Linked DNA regions of Coturnix japonica. Each later gene encodes a partner of the first gene's protein in a complex. Links are inferred from orthologs where the notes say so. Each region holds a gene or a part of one and is shown on either strand. Other genes may lie near its edges.

What was found.
Region 2: the proteins of ASF1A (region 1) and CDAN1 are in contact, whole or in part, in a cryo-EM structure (PDB 9CVC), measured with the Homo sapiens proteins. The link is inferred for Coturnix japonica from reciprocal best matches to the Homo sapiens genes ASF1A and CDAN1. Residues at the interface, in NP_054753.1 of Homo sapiens: Gln5, Val6, Asn7, Asn8, Val9, Val10, Val11, Leu12, Asp13, Pro15, Asn20, Pro21, Phe28, Asp37, Val45, Ser47, Ala48, Glu49, Ser50, Glu51, Glu52, Asp54, Asp58, Ser59, Val60, Leu61, Val62, Gly63, Pro64, Val65; in NP_612486.2 of Homo sapiens: Arg195, Arg196, Ile197, Asn198, Thr200, Val202, Lys390, Leu391, His470, Glu471, Glu472, Pro473, Gly474, Trp475, Asp476, Lys538, Arg541, Arg544, Leu545, Gln546, Arg548, Leu549, Met550, Ala551, Pro552, Gln553, Ser554, Ser555, Arg806, Lys807.
Region 3: the proteins of ASF1A (region 1) and TLK2 are in contact, whole or in part, in a crystal structure (PDB 7LO0), measured with the Homo sapiens proteins. The link is inferred for Coturnix japonica from reciprocal best matches to the Homo sapiens genes ASF1A and TLK2. Residues at the interface, in NP_054753.1 of Homo sapiens: Val45, Ala48, Glu49, Glu51, Asp54, Asp88, Val92, Thr93, Val94, Leu96, Arg108, Gly110, Tyr111, Tyr112, Arg145, Thr147, Phe149; in NP_001271262.1 of Homo sapiens: Arg11, Arg12, Gln13, Leu15, Leu16, Glu17, Arg19, Phe20, Thr21, Gly22, Val23.

Annotation. Positions count from the first base shown.
Region 1 is NC_029518.1:57,106,565-57,111,147, forward strand, and holds the start of ASF1A (histone chaperone ASF1A), read right to left. Parts: upstream 3,087-4,583; 5' UTR 2,701-3,086; coding exon 2,592-2,700; intron 134-2,591; coding exon 18-133; intron 1-17. UniProt on the Homo sapiens protein: Histone chaperone that facilitates histone deposition and histone exchange and removal during nucleosome assembly and disassembly.
Region 2 is NC_029520.1:23,195,494-23,199,583, reverse strand, and holds part of CDAN1 (codanin-1), read left to right. Parts: intron 1-276; coding exon 277-396; intron 397-1,266; coding exon 1,267-1,345; intron 1,346-1,729; coding exon 1,730-1,850; intron 1,851-2,872; coding exon 2,873-2,982; intron 2,983-3,631; coding exon 3,632-3,721; intron 3,722-4,090. UniProt on the Homo sapiens protein: May act as a negative regulator of ASF1 in chromatin assembly.
Region 3 is NC_029542.1:1,856,366-1,861,156, reverse strand, and holds the start of TLK2 (serine/threonine-protein kinase tousled-like 2), read right to left. Parts: upstream 3,306-4,791; 5' UTR 2,662-3,305; intron 793-2,661; 5' UTR 785-792; coding exon 704-784; intron 1-703. UniProt on the Homo sapiens protein: Serine/threonine-protein kinase involved in the process of chromatin assembly and probably also DNA replication, transcription, repair, and chromosome segregation. Phosphorylates the chromatin assembly factors ASF1A and ASF1B.

The DNA.
Region 1 (4,583 bases):
AGTTAATTCCCACTTACCTGAAATACAAACATGTGTCTGCCTGCAGGAACAGGTCCTACTAAAACAGAGTCGAGCACTTGGTCATACTCTTCACTTTCAGCTGAACCCACATAAATTATCTTCCATTCCAAATCTGCAGAACAAAAGTTAGATAACAAACATTATTTATCATTATAGTTAAGGGTCTTCCGCTCTTGACTGTTTATGATTTTGCTTAGCTTAAAATTGCTAGTTTGGCAACTGGCATAAAGGATCAGGGAACTTGTCTTTATCAGGGAAGCTGATGCTTTCTCCAGTCCTCATAAACTAGGCCATCCCACCACCTTTCTCCAGTCTGCAGAAGCCCCTCTATTTTCATAGACTGGTTAAGCTGCGATTCTCCTACAGCAGGTAGGGCCCATTTACTTGCTGGGAGCTGTAATGAGAATTTGTTCAGTCTGTAGGAATGTCTCCAGCATTTAGGCTTGCAACTGATTTTTTTCCTCATTAATGAAACCGTAACCCCTCATACAGCACGGCACAACGGGCCAGGTTCTGCATCAGAGATTCTGTTTACCCCATAAGCACCTGGTGTTGGCTGCTGGGGTACTAAGCACTCATTGGGTCAGCTGGTGACCTTCTGTTGGAGCCTATGTAATCTGCTGTGTTCAAGGAGTGGGGACATAAGAGGCTAGATCGCTTAAGGTTATCATACCATCACTTGCAGTTATTCCAGGAAAACAAACTCATTCTAAAGCAGTAATACTTGGTACTGAAAAACAAGCCTTTGAAGATAACTTATACCTTTAAAAGGTTGATCTGATACTGCTGATACATGATGACTTGGAATAATTTAAAGACGGGGGAAGTGAACTCAATTAATTTACTTTTAAGACCAGTGGTGCACAGGACTGGCTGTAAACAGCAGAGCAGACATTAGCACACAAACGCTAAGGAAATGACAGCAATTCATTCTCTTCAAGAAGCTGTTTAACCTCATTTTTAAACGTGAAAGATAGCAATGCTTACCCTAAACATATCCTGTAGCCTAACCTTTGTCAGATGGGGGAAGGGAACTGAGAATTTTGAACTGGGCCACCTCCAGTTCTCATCCTGACTGTCCAGATTAATCGCACTGTTAAACACACAGTTAGGAGTGGTCACAAACCAAAGGAAAGGCAAGGTGATGCCTAGTGCCTGTGCTGCTGCAGGCACTGCTGTGTGAGGATTCAGGTGCTGCTGTCCTGAGTGAGCCCTGACTGCCTGAGTCAGGGAGGAGCAGCCATCAGCATCGGGATGTGCACGGAGCTTAATGGCGCGGGCTGCTCAAACTGAGACGCTGATCAGTTTTAGGAAGGGGGCAGAGGCGTGGGGGGAACCTCAAACGCAGACAGGACTTTGACAAAGTTCCTGACAGCACCGCCAACCCGCCACACAGGGACAGAAACCCGCGCCGAGTGTTGAGGGAGGCAAACTGAACCACAGCAGCAATAGAAACGTCCCCATTCTCTACTGCCACGAGTTTCTTTCCCTGCCTCCCGCTGTCTGCCCTGGTTCCCCGGCGAGCAGGCGGCACTGTGCCCCATAGCGGCACCTGTCCTGTGGCTGCTCCATCGGAGCGGCCTTTTCCTGTCTCTCGGTGCCGCTCATCCCGCCGCTTCCTTCGCCGTGCGCCGCCGCGTTCGAATCTCCCGCCCGGTTGTTCCCGCGCGGACTCTCGGGGCGCCTCCCGCGGAGAGGCGCGGCGCGGCCTGCCGGCGGCACGGACACATCGTGCCGAGCGAGCCGGCCCACAGCGGGCCGGGGGCTGCTCGCGGCCCGCCGTGCGGACGGGAGGACTCGAGCCCGGCCGAGAAGGGTCCCTCAGCCGCGTCTCCCGTCCCGGGGTCCCCGCGGGGCGGCGTGCAGGGCGGCGCCGAGCCGCCTCCCCCGGCGGCAGCCGGTAACTTTCGAGTGACTTCCAAAAATAGTGGCTACCGCCTCCCCCTCCTCCCGGCACGGCTCCGCGCCTCCGGACCGCCACCCACCGGGCTCCGAGCACTGCGCCCACCGAGAGCCGCCCGCTCGTCCGCCCGGCCTCCAGCTCTGTTTTTTTCCTTTTCTTTTTTTTTTTTTTTCCTTCCCTCCTTTTAAGTATTAAAATGGACCGTGAGGCCCCGCACCGCACGCTCCAAACGCTGCCCGCGCTGCGGGTACCTCCCGTTGGCAGCGCTACGGCCGCGCAACAGTTCCGCTCCCGCGTCGCGGGGCCGCGCGGCGCCCTGCCCGCCCGCCCGCTCCCGCTCTGCCCCCCCACGCACACACAAAGCTGGCAACATGGCTACCACCACTCTAACAAGTTCCTCGCAACTTGAAGGCGGCCTCGGCGACGGCGCGGCGGGGAGCGAAGCGGAGCGGCGGCCCCGGAGCGAGGGCTCCGCCGCTAACTTTCCCTGCCCGGGCCGGGGCCGGGCGGCCCCGCCGTAGCTCCGCATCCCCCGCGTGGCCGCACGGCTCTGCGGGGAGGAGAACCGTGCGGCGGCGGGAGCAGGCCCGGCCCGAAGGGAGCCCGCCCGGCCCCGCATCCGACAGCCCGGGCACCGCCGAACCCGCGTCCGGAGAGCGGTACTCACCTTCCGACAGGTCCTCTATGCACTCAAATGTGATTTCGAACTGGAAAGGGTTGTAGAAAGGAGAAGGGTTGTCCAACACCACTACATTGTTCACCTGAACCTTTGCCATATTTTGAAAAAAATCACAATAGGAGGAGCGGGTGAACGCCGCACGGCAAAGTCCCGAGCGGTGATCTCCGCCTCGCACGAAGCCCCCTGCCCCCCGTCGGAGCGAGGCTGCGGAGCCGCGACTTGGGGAAACTTTTCTTCCCCCCTTTTATTTACACCGGGAGCACTCCACTCTGTTCGCAGCTTTCCTATTTCACTCAACTACGGCCCATTCTGCCCTGCTCTCCGCCAGCGCCCGTCCGGATTGGCCGCGCGCTGGGCTAGGGCCCTCCTCCCCGAGCCGAGCCGACCGCCGAGCGGCGGCAAGACAGGCACCGCCGCCGCCCGCCCGGCCCCTCCGCGCCGCTCGGCGCCCCCGCCCGGCCGGCGCCCGACACCGCCGCCAAACCGCCCGGCAGCCGCCGGCCAACGGCCGCGCAGAGCGGGGAGGGGCCGGGCCGAGCGGGCGGGGCCGAGCGCGGAGCCGAGGGGCGGCCCCGGGAGCCGTAGGCCGCGCCCCTGCTCGCGCGTGGGTTTCCGCCATGTGCTGTGGGTTTTGCCGGTTGTTAGTGCCCGAGGAAGGCGTGTTTTCATTCTTTTTAATTCTTTTCGCGAACCCGGAGGTGTCAGGTGTTACGTGCTGACTGGGGACTGCCCGACCGAGCCCTGGTCCGCTGTGTGAGCGGCCTCCAGAAAGCTGTCAACCCGTGGCTGTGCTGTAGTGAAGCCTCCGGCAGCGCCGCACGCCCCGAACACAAGCGGCCCTTGGAGGAGGCCATTTTAGGCTGCCGTGTGCGGGAATGGCAGCGGGGATATGTCATGTCACCGCCCGCCGCTGGGCTGGGGAGAGCCGTGCCCCGGGCTGGGGGTGTGAGGTGTTTCTCGTCAGCGTGAGAGGCGATTCCCGGAGGAAATAAATACGTGGTCATGCAGTAATCGTGCCTGCGGGGAACACTTAATGTGCGGCAGGAAGGTACGGAGCAGACATCTTGCCTGAGCCATGCAGGCAAGCAGCAGAGTGCTGCCATGTCTACAGTGAGGCCCTTAGCCGTCCTCCAAGCCACTGCCAGGTTTGGAAAGGTGATTATGCTTCTGTGTTGACAAAGAAGTGTCTGATAGTTGCCTCATCTGTTGCTCAGTGTACATTTTTAGCATTCCTCGTGTCAGATGAAAGGCCAGATTGGGCACAGTAGAAGAGACTCCTCACAACAAGCTACTATTACTATCAAGAAACATAAATTGCCAATAATTTCTGACTGATCTGCACAGAGATGTGCCATGGGAAGATCCTTGGGCAAGTTTCGTTGTAACATTCCAGGAGGTTTCAGGCTGGCAGCAGCTTGTCATCTACCAGGATATTTTGAGCAGAGCGCTTTGGAGTGAAAAAGAAGGGCTAAAGATAGAGAAAAGGCTGGGGAGTAGGGACGAGGAAATGGGAAAGAGCTGCACATACTTGATAGTGAGCAGCCATTATCACAGCTTAGAAACATTTCTGACCTTCCGTGCTCCCAGTGTTGCATCACATGTAGATTCACAAGTGCCTGCTGGGAACTTATTTGGTTCATTTCATTTTGGATTATTATTTTTTTTTCTTCTAAGCTTTATTTTTCAGCTCTGCAATATTTGTCTATTTTAGTGGTTGGTGAATGCATCCATTCTATACATTTGTGGGCTTTGTAGTCACACCAGTTTTCATTTTAATATAGTAGATTTGATTTTCTCACCCTTGTTAATAAGTAATTACTAAATTTGGAATGCTTAGCAGAATCTGCTCTGCAGATCATGGCTAACCTGTGTAACGCTAGTGGGATTTTCTACCGGCAAGTGTAAATGAGATGCATGGTAGAGGTATGTGGTGGAGTTAACCTGCTGTTTCTCCTTCTGTCTGTGGCACAAGCCAGCATG
Region 2 (4,090 bases), on another chromosome or scaffold:
ACAGTTTTTACATAAAAATATAGGGAAGTAGATGAACGTGTTGCAGTACTTTGACCTGTAGGAGGCTGCAGTTGCATGGTCCTATCTGGTGAGGTAAATTTGAACAACAAAACCCTTCCCTCACACGTATTTGCATGTTGATATATGCTGTGGCTGTGTGTGGGGAGTGAGTTCTTTACAGACTTTGTAGAACAGTTGTCTGTCTTTTTGCCTTCAATCATTAAAACAGGTTAAATCACAATATTCATCTCTCATATCACATTTTTTCTCTTGCAGAAAACCTGGTACCAAATATTTTCCTGGAGCTTTTTTTTGTTCTGCAACTGTTAACATCTAAAGGAACTTCTGCTTCAGAGGAAGAAGAGAGTGACCTTGAAGTCAATGAAGGAAGTAAAGGTAAGCAGTAGAATTGAGTGGAAAGGGTGTCCTTCCATGAATGATGATAATGTGATGTAGATAAGTTGCCTGTAGCCTAAAGGTTAGTATTCAATACCTTAAAAGCACAGTGGGACTCATCTGAGATGCTGACAAAAGCCATGTGTGTATGGGAAGTATTTCTTTAGCATGATAGATCAGGGTTTCTAGATTGTGTTTGAATCTACTTTTCTACTGTTGTGTGTGAGTACCTACGACATCTTGCTAAAACAAACTTGCAGAGAGAAGAGCAGATATGTTATGTCTCTTCTCCGTTGGTTCTTACAGATCAAAAGTGTTGTTGTCTTGCTGTGTGTTTCTTAAAAGTTGGGTCTCAGGTGTGGGCACATAGGGCCTGCTAATATAGGTAAATAATTGTTACATTTGACTTTTTGGCAAAGTTGTACTTACTCTTGATACAGTCAGTAGTTTGATATAGGTATGAAAAGCAGAGAGTGGCTTTAAGATGAGACTTCCCTTCAGAAAACTATTTGTTTAACTTTAGTTTTGCTTCTTAGGACTGAGCTTAGGAACATAAGGTGATCAGCAGCAGCAGCTGATTGGTGCTTGCAGTTGGTCTGCTTGCTGTTTGGCTCTGCTTACTGTTGGCCAAAAAGCTGAGAAGGAATCTTTTCTGTCCCATAGAGTGTTAAACAATTTAGTAGCCGTTAGTATCAGAGAGATGGGGATTTTTCTTGTGCCAGGGGATAGGAACTTCTGGATACTGGTCTGGAAGATCATTTTATTCTTTGGATATGGCAGTTCCTTCTTTCCTCCAGACCGTATTATCGATTGCTTAGCTTATAAATTGTGTTAGGTGCTGTTGTCAGATGTTTCTTTTTTTCCCATTAGATGCATCAGGGAGACAGCACTTCCGAAGCGTGCACAATTGCGTTTACTTCGCTGTTCAAGTCTTGGATTATCAATATGAGTGAGTTGAGGTGCTTTTTTTTTTTTTTTATTTCCTCAGCTTGTTTGTGTGATGAAGCAAGTGTGCTTAGATCTTAGAGCTTTACTAATTCCAGGCATGGAGATATTAACTTTCCCTCAAAATACACTTAAATTTGGCTTAAATTTGAATGGCTGTGAATTTTCTCTGTGCTGGTCTTCAGTGTGATTTTGTAAGAAATGGGAAGGTCATGAGAAGAATGCAATAAGAAAAAATGCCCCTGCAGATGTCAGTGAGATTTGATCCTGGGTGACTGGGTCTTATAACTCTTTACTTGGTGGCTTCTTAAGAATGACATAAACGTTTCTTTGGGTCTGATCATGCTGTCATTTGTGTCTGTGGGTTTTATGGATGTTGTCTTGGCAGAATTATTTCCCATTTAGAAAAGGGGACTCTGAAGTTCTTGGCTGAAAATGAACGGATTGCATGTTTTTCTCCCACCCTGCACGAGAGACTCAAGCAGGCATATGAAAACAGCACAGCCAAGGTAAATATTGGCAGACCTCAACTGAATGCTGTCTTATACCTCTGTGGTGATGGCGTTTTATTTATGTTGGCCTTAATGTTAACTCTCATTCCTTCTTCTGTGAGTCTCTTTGTCATGTCTTCTTTGGGAACTGTTTGAAAGTTGTTTTTTAATTGTTGGGTTTTTGTTTTTTCTCATTGAGTGAATGAATTGCATAATGCCATGACTGTTAGTTGTGAATTGCTACTGGTTGCCCCAGTGTTGTGGACCTTAGCTGGTGACTTCGACAGAGCCAAGTTTTGCTTTTGATGTTTGTGTCTAATCAACATGAATCCCAGAAAAATGGCCGTCTGGTTGCTGAATTGTAGTGTAGGTGGGGAGAAGTGAATTTGTTTCATTGCTACGGACTTCTTTGAGGCAAACAAAGCTTGCAGTCTGGAAAAATGAGTTTCCTGATCAGATCATCTAAGTCAGGGAACTGAAGCTTGATGATAGGAATGCATTTATTTTCTCTTTAGTTTCATGCATCCCATTGCATTTGCCAAGGAAAGTACAGTGTGCTTCCTGAGACTAAGGCACATTAATAACCGATCAGTTTTGCTAAAGTTAAAGACGAGGCTTTTTTGTTACTTGAAGGCATGTACTGTCTGAATAGAAGAATACAGAAATTGCCAGGTTCTGTCCTCCTGCAATCTCAGAAGCCCTGTGTTGAAGATATGCTTTGGCTGTCTGCAGATCATTCTTTCCATTAGTGTGAATACTAATTGCAATTTGTTGATTGCAATTAAAAAAAGTAAGTTTTTTTCCCAGAGATAAGAAGCTTGCATTCATAACGAGTGACTCTTGTCTCTGTGGTGTAATGTAGGCTTTGCAGCCATTGGTGTTTACTGGCAGTTAGCAACTGGGAAATGACTAGAGTCTGAACAACTCAATTAGTGACACCTGCTTTCACCGTCACCTCTCTCCACTGCTTATTCTGGGTTTCAGATTGTTGGATAAATTACACTTGCATTTGCCTAATTGTTGATTTATGTTTTCAACAGGTTTCTCTGCTGCTGCCATGCTCTGTGCAGTCTGTTTCTTTCCAGCCAGAAACCGACAATCGCTCTAACTTTCCCAGCGACAGAGCATTTCACATATTTAAGAAACAAAGGTAAGATTGTTTTACTGTTAGTATATGGCTCACAAGATATTATCTGATCATGGCTGTGAACAAAAGATATCAAGAATGTCCCATTTATGCTACGTACTGTAGATTTTCACTCTAATTAAGAAAAGTCTTTGTCCGTGCTGACTGCAGGAGCTAAGTGTGTAATGACTTTAGAGAAGAATAGCCTAATTCTTCAGGAGTTTTTGAGGATTCTGGTAAATGCCAGTGCAGTGTGGCACCTTACATAGGTTGCTTCTGCATACATATCTGGTATGCTTTGTATTCTTCCTGCTGCCTTCCACGCTTGCAGCAACTGAGTGAGGAGAGAATGGCAAGTTGTCTTGGTCATTTTTTTCTCCTCATAGGTGTTATTTTGTGTAGCCTGTTTCTCAGTCTTCAGTATGTCTGGTAAATGGGTGGTTTGGTCATTCTGTCTGAGCTTAGGCATAACAAGCTTAAGTGCTTGCTGTTCAGAGGCATGGAAGATGGAAACTTTAGAGTTTTGCGGAAGTATCAGAATGTGGAGATGCTTGAATTACTTAATCTGAGTTAGAGACTCACTGGGTAGTTTAGAAGCAATTGAATGCTTGGGTGTTGCTACTTCAAATTTTGAAGAGAAGGAATTCACATCCTTAAATGTCTTTGTTCACAGGGATATCTTTTATGAACTGCTGCGTGAATGGGAGGATAACCATGAAAAACCCGGTTGGGACTTTGAAAGAGTTCTGGGCAGCAAGATCAGGTAGGAGTCTTCTGTAACTCAATCTAGAACATCAGTTTAGCTTTAGTGTAGCTATGTTACTGGTGCAACATACCAGATTCAGCATCCTAATTTCTATGTTCTTTCTAATGGTCTGAGCTGTAAGGGGCTGTGCTTCTTGGCAGGTAGTGTCTGTGCAAAGTTGCTTCTGTATTTAAAATTTTGAACTATCCTCTTAAAGAAACATAAAGGCATAAGTGGTGGTGGCATAATGCGGTTAGTCTTGGTGTAACTCTTACCGTGTTCCCTGTCACAGAAAGAGTTACTCTCAAAACGTTGTGGTCTGAATGCATTTTTGTGCATAGTTCATGTTTCCAGTGCCCCACTCCTTTTAAGCACGTATGTATTATA
Region 3 (4,791 bases), on another chromosome or scaffold:
TGCCACCATTTCATTGCTCAGAGAGGAAATCAATTTAGCACTACCAACAACATCTGGAGTACTACTAACTTAACGTTAGCATATCTAGCAGCCACACAGTGTTGTTGTTAGGTGTCTCACTCAAGAAAATCAGCTACTGGGTAGTTTTGAAGTTGTACGTGAGGACAAAGATGGGATTTACCAGCAGGTTGTGGATCACTGATAGGGAAAGGTTTAACTTCAAGTACTTTTGGGTGTGTTTCATGCAACCAAGTAAGTAGGCAATTTCAACACGTTATACCCACAAAGAACTGCATGAATAAATTCCTGATTATATTCAGCCTGGTTATATGCTGTATTAAGCACAATCAGATTGAAACCGTATCTAACAAGTGGCCAAATCCAATTCCCCAAATGAAGACTTGGAGAAAGGAAGAGACGGGTAAGATTCCCAAAGACAAAGCTGTCTGTCAGCGGAGTGCAAGCTGCCTTAAGATGGAGCAACTCCTGAGAACCTGGAACCCCAAATCTTCCATATAACAGTGCAACTGCTCATAGAGATCCCATTTTCATTCCTCTCCAACATACTTCAGGCATATCAGCAGTCAAAACTATGGATACAAACACATTCTGCTTGCAAAGCAAAATTAGCAAGGGAGGGAAGGGGGAAAAAAAGAATGTATTGCAGGATGTCGTGCCTTTCACTGGAGGGATCTGCACTCACCTTAGCAACACCAACGCCGGTGAACCTGGCCTCCAGTAGTTCCTGCCTTCGTGGGTCCAGGCTATGCAATTCTTCCATCATTTCTGCTGCTGTAGGAGAATAACATTCAGATTATGCAATGCAAGGAAAGGAAAGATTGAAGATTCTGTGCCACTGACATGACTCAAAAGTGCCTGTTTTGAAGCGTAACCACGTAGAGAGCATTTTCTTGCAAGAGAAATACGAGATTACCATGCAATAACTACATGATTTTGTCACCGTATTACTGTATGTAAACCACAACCCTGATGGAGAGGTTCATCTGTCTGTAGCACCAGCCATTTCAAGATCTCTTAATCCAAGAAACCAATTATGTCACATTCTCCCACTGGATGCTTTATTAAAAGGAAAACACAGGACCAGAGCGTTATGACTAAAGGCTTCACAGCTTCCCATCCATATTGCATGACTAGGAGGAAAAAAAAAGCACAAAGATCCTCATCCCTGAATTTATTTTTGGCCAACCCCTAAAATATAAGGTCTCCCAAAACTCACTGACAACAGCTCTGGTTCTTCTAAGCACGGAAAGGGATTGTCAGGGGGAAAATAATGTGTGTTTACATCCATTATAAAGTATCGGATACCCCCAGCTGCATCTACACACTGCATGTAAGCTGGGGTACCGAGATGCAATGGATGCCATCACTTGAAGGGTTCAGAAACAGCCAACCAAACAAGCACGGCTGTGTAAAGAGGTGGGGGAAAAAAAAAAAAGCATAAAACATAAAATGTGGATATTGAACTATGAAAGAAAAATGGGACGAATTTCAATGTTCATTTTAACTGCGAATCGCATCTTCCCAAATGCACCAATCGAGTCCGTCATTTCCAGAAATGTCTGTTCCAGTTTCATTACCCAGACGAAGGTAAGGGGAAAAAAAAAAAAGACACAAGATAAGGATTTGCTGTATAAAGAGTGTATGTGAGGAGGAAAGTTCCTGAAGGGCAGCAAGTGCCCTCTAGATCAGGCAGCTTACAGTTGTTCCTTTTATTAACTGTCCATTTTGTCTCTGCTGTTTCCTCCAAATGCTGCAGCTCTAAGTTACAGAGAGCTCAGTGAATCGATCCAGGGGCATTCACAAGCGCTCTCCCCATCCAGCAGCAAACCTCAACAACCAAACGCGGTCACGGCAGAACCCCATTTCTACTATTTGCTCCAACAAAGCTACCAACCTAGTTTTCAAAACAGGAAATCTGTGCACCGAGGAAAATGACAGGCGAGCCCTTAAGGCGAAGGTGTTAAAGACCTCGGAGCTCTGACCCCCCTTTATGGGGAGGGGATGCCGGGCTGGGGAAGGGGTATCCCCTGCTGGGAAGAGGCCACACCAAACTGCCCCCTCCCCGGAGCCCCTGTGCCCATTGGGGCCTGGGGAATGACCCAACCATCCACCCATCCATCCCTGCCGGCAGCAGGCTGCATTCCCTCCCTGCCCTCCTCCCGACGGCTTCGAGGGGCGACTCGCTGTTGGGCGAGCAGCGGGTGAAGAGCAGCGGGTGAGGAGCAGCCTGCCCCGCCGCCAGCCGCTGCACCGCCTGGGCCTGCCTCCTCCTCCCGTCACTGCCTCACTGCCAGGCCGGGGATCCAAAGGCCGTACCCACCCCTTCACCTCCTCACCGCGTCCCCCGCGCTCCCCCGGGGTTGAGGCCGGGCCGTCTCCGATCTTAACCCCCCACCATCGGAGCCCTCAAGGCCTCGCGTTGCTCCGAGCACCCGCGGCCCAGGCCTCGCTCCGCCGCCTCGGGGCACGCACAGGCCGCGGCCCTTCCGCCTGACCCCGGCCCGGCCAACAGCGGGCAGCGCTCCATCGCCACCCCGCCCGGCCGCCCCCGGGGGTCGCAACCCACCGCCCCCACGGCCCGGGGAAGGGAAGGGAAGAGTGAGGGGGGATCCCCGCCGCCCCCCCCGGGCTCTCTCTCACCTGGCGCTGCTGCTCGTGCCGCCGCCCGGGCCCGACGTTCCCCGGGCACCGCTCGGATCCCGCCGCCGCCGCCGGGGGCAGGAGGAGGAGGAGGAGGAGGAGGAGGAGGGAGGGAGGGAACCTGCTGCGGCGGCGGCGGCAGCGGCTGCACGGGCGGGAGGGGGAGGCCAGGGGCGGCTCCGCGGCCTCTCGTGAGCAGCCGCTGCGGGTGCCCGGAGGAGAAGAGGGTGGAGGGGAAGGGAGAGACGGCGGCACAGGGTGTGGGGGGGGGATGAGGGGGATGGAAAGTAGGGGCGGAAGATGGGGATGAGCCCCTGGGTGCGCTGCGGGGATGGAGCGGGGATGGAGCAGGCCGCGAATCCCCGGCCTCGCGTAGAAGCCTCGCCCGAGCGCGGCACGCCGAGGCCGGCGGAGGTGGCGAGGCCTCGCGGCAGGACAAAGGCCCGAGGGAGGGCTCGGAGGGTGCGGCACCCGGGCAGGTGGGGGGTAAAGGGGAAGGTAAAGGGGGTGGGGGGGGGTTATGGGGGGGTGGCGGCGGAGACCCTTCGCTCGGCAGGTGCGGGGCCGGTGCTCCCCCTCCCACCCCTCCCCCTCCCACGGCGGTTCGGCCCGACCCGGCCCGGATCGGATCGATTGGTGCACACACACTGGTGAAAGCGCGCGGAGGTCTTCGCGAGATTTGCACGAGGCGGAGGGGGGGGGTGGGGGTGGGGGGGGCAGGTCAGCACGGGAGGGGGGAGGGGGGCAGGTCAGCGGGGAGGGGCTTCGAGTGGGATGGGGGAGGGCTTAAAGGGAGGGAGGGGCCATTGCCCGGCCATGGGGTGGGGAGGCAGCAGGTACGGAGGGGTGGGGGGAAGGGAGGGGACCTATGAGGGTCAGGGTCGGCTGTGGGGTCAGCAGACACAAGGGGAAGGTGGGTAGGGCTGGGGGGGTCAGGAGAGCCCTGAGGGTGTTTGTCCCCCCCCCCTTTAAGGGGTGACCTGATATCCCCCACCCCAAAAGGGGGGGTCCCTTGTGTGGATTGGGTGGGTCTGTGAGGGGATGTCCATACAACCCATTCCATCATCCCATCCAGCATTAACCCAGCTCCATCCCCCTGGCTGGGGGCACATGCCAGTTGCCCACCCCCCATCATCACCCCCGTATCCCCCCATGATGACGGCTTAATCCTAAATGAATCCCCCCCCCCACATACACACAAACACACACACACCACGATCCAGGCTGCCCCTCGCATCCCTTCGGAGCCATCACACACAGCCCTGCGGGCTCTGCGCTCACTGCTGCCTTTCTAAGGCCAAGATTGAAGAAGGAAAAAACCTAAAGGGGGGGTTGGGGGGTGGGTTGAGGTGGGAGGAGAAGAGAATCAAGATGTTAAAGGCTTTTCCATTGGCGGCGTGGCGGTGCGGTCGCCCCTTCGGCCGCCGGTGCAACCTGCTCGCCTCCAAGGTTGAATGAGCTTTCTGCAAAGCAAACGAGGAAGGGGGGGAGGATTGATTAACAACAACAAAAAGCAAGCATTAAAAAAGAAGGAGGTGAAGGGGGGGGGGGGGAGGAGGAAAGCAAAGCAGCACGTCGGGAAGTGGCCAGGCCTGTCCGAAGGGAGGCAGGCGTGGATTAGAGATGGGATTTGCTCTGGGTTGGATAGTGAGAGCTGGGTGTCACCACCCCAAAACCACGCAGCTAAAGCAGAGCCCATCCAACAGCAAAGGGGGGGGGGTGAAGGGGAGCGGCTGAGCTTCAGCCCTGCGGGGTTGGCCCCCCCCCAACCTCCTCCTACAACACGATGCTGATGGTGGGGAAGGGGGAGGATCTGTTATTTAGCACTCGTTTATCGTGCTCCGAGCCCGGCGTTATTCGTTAACTTCGCGTTGCAAATGGCTTTTCCGAGGCTCATCTCACGAGCTGTGTTTCCTGTACTTTAATCTGCTATTTTTGTTGTTGTTGTTTTTAAGGTAGAGGATCCACTCCGGTTTCAGCTCCTTGCTGCGTGATTCACGTTTATCAGCACGGCCGGCAGCAGGAATTTGTTAAAGAAATAAACGACCTGCTATATTTCGCTTTGCTTTTCTCTCCCCCCTTTCCCCCCCCCCCAAATAAAAGGAGGCATTCTAAATATCCCATCGGTTG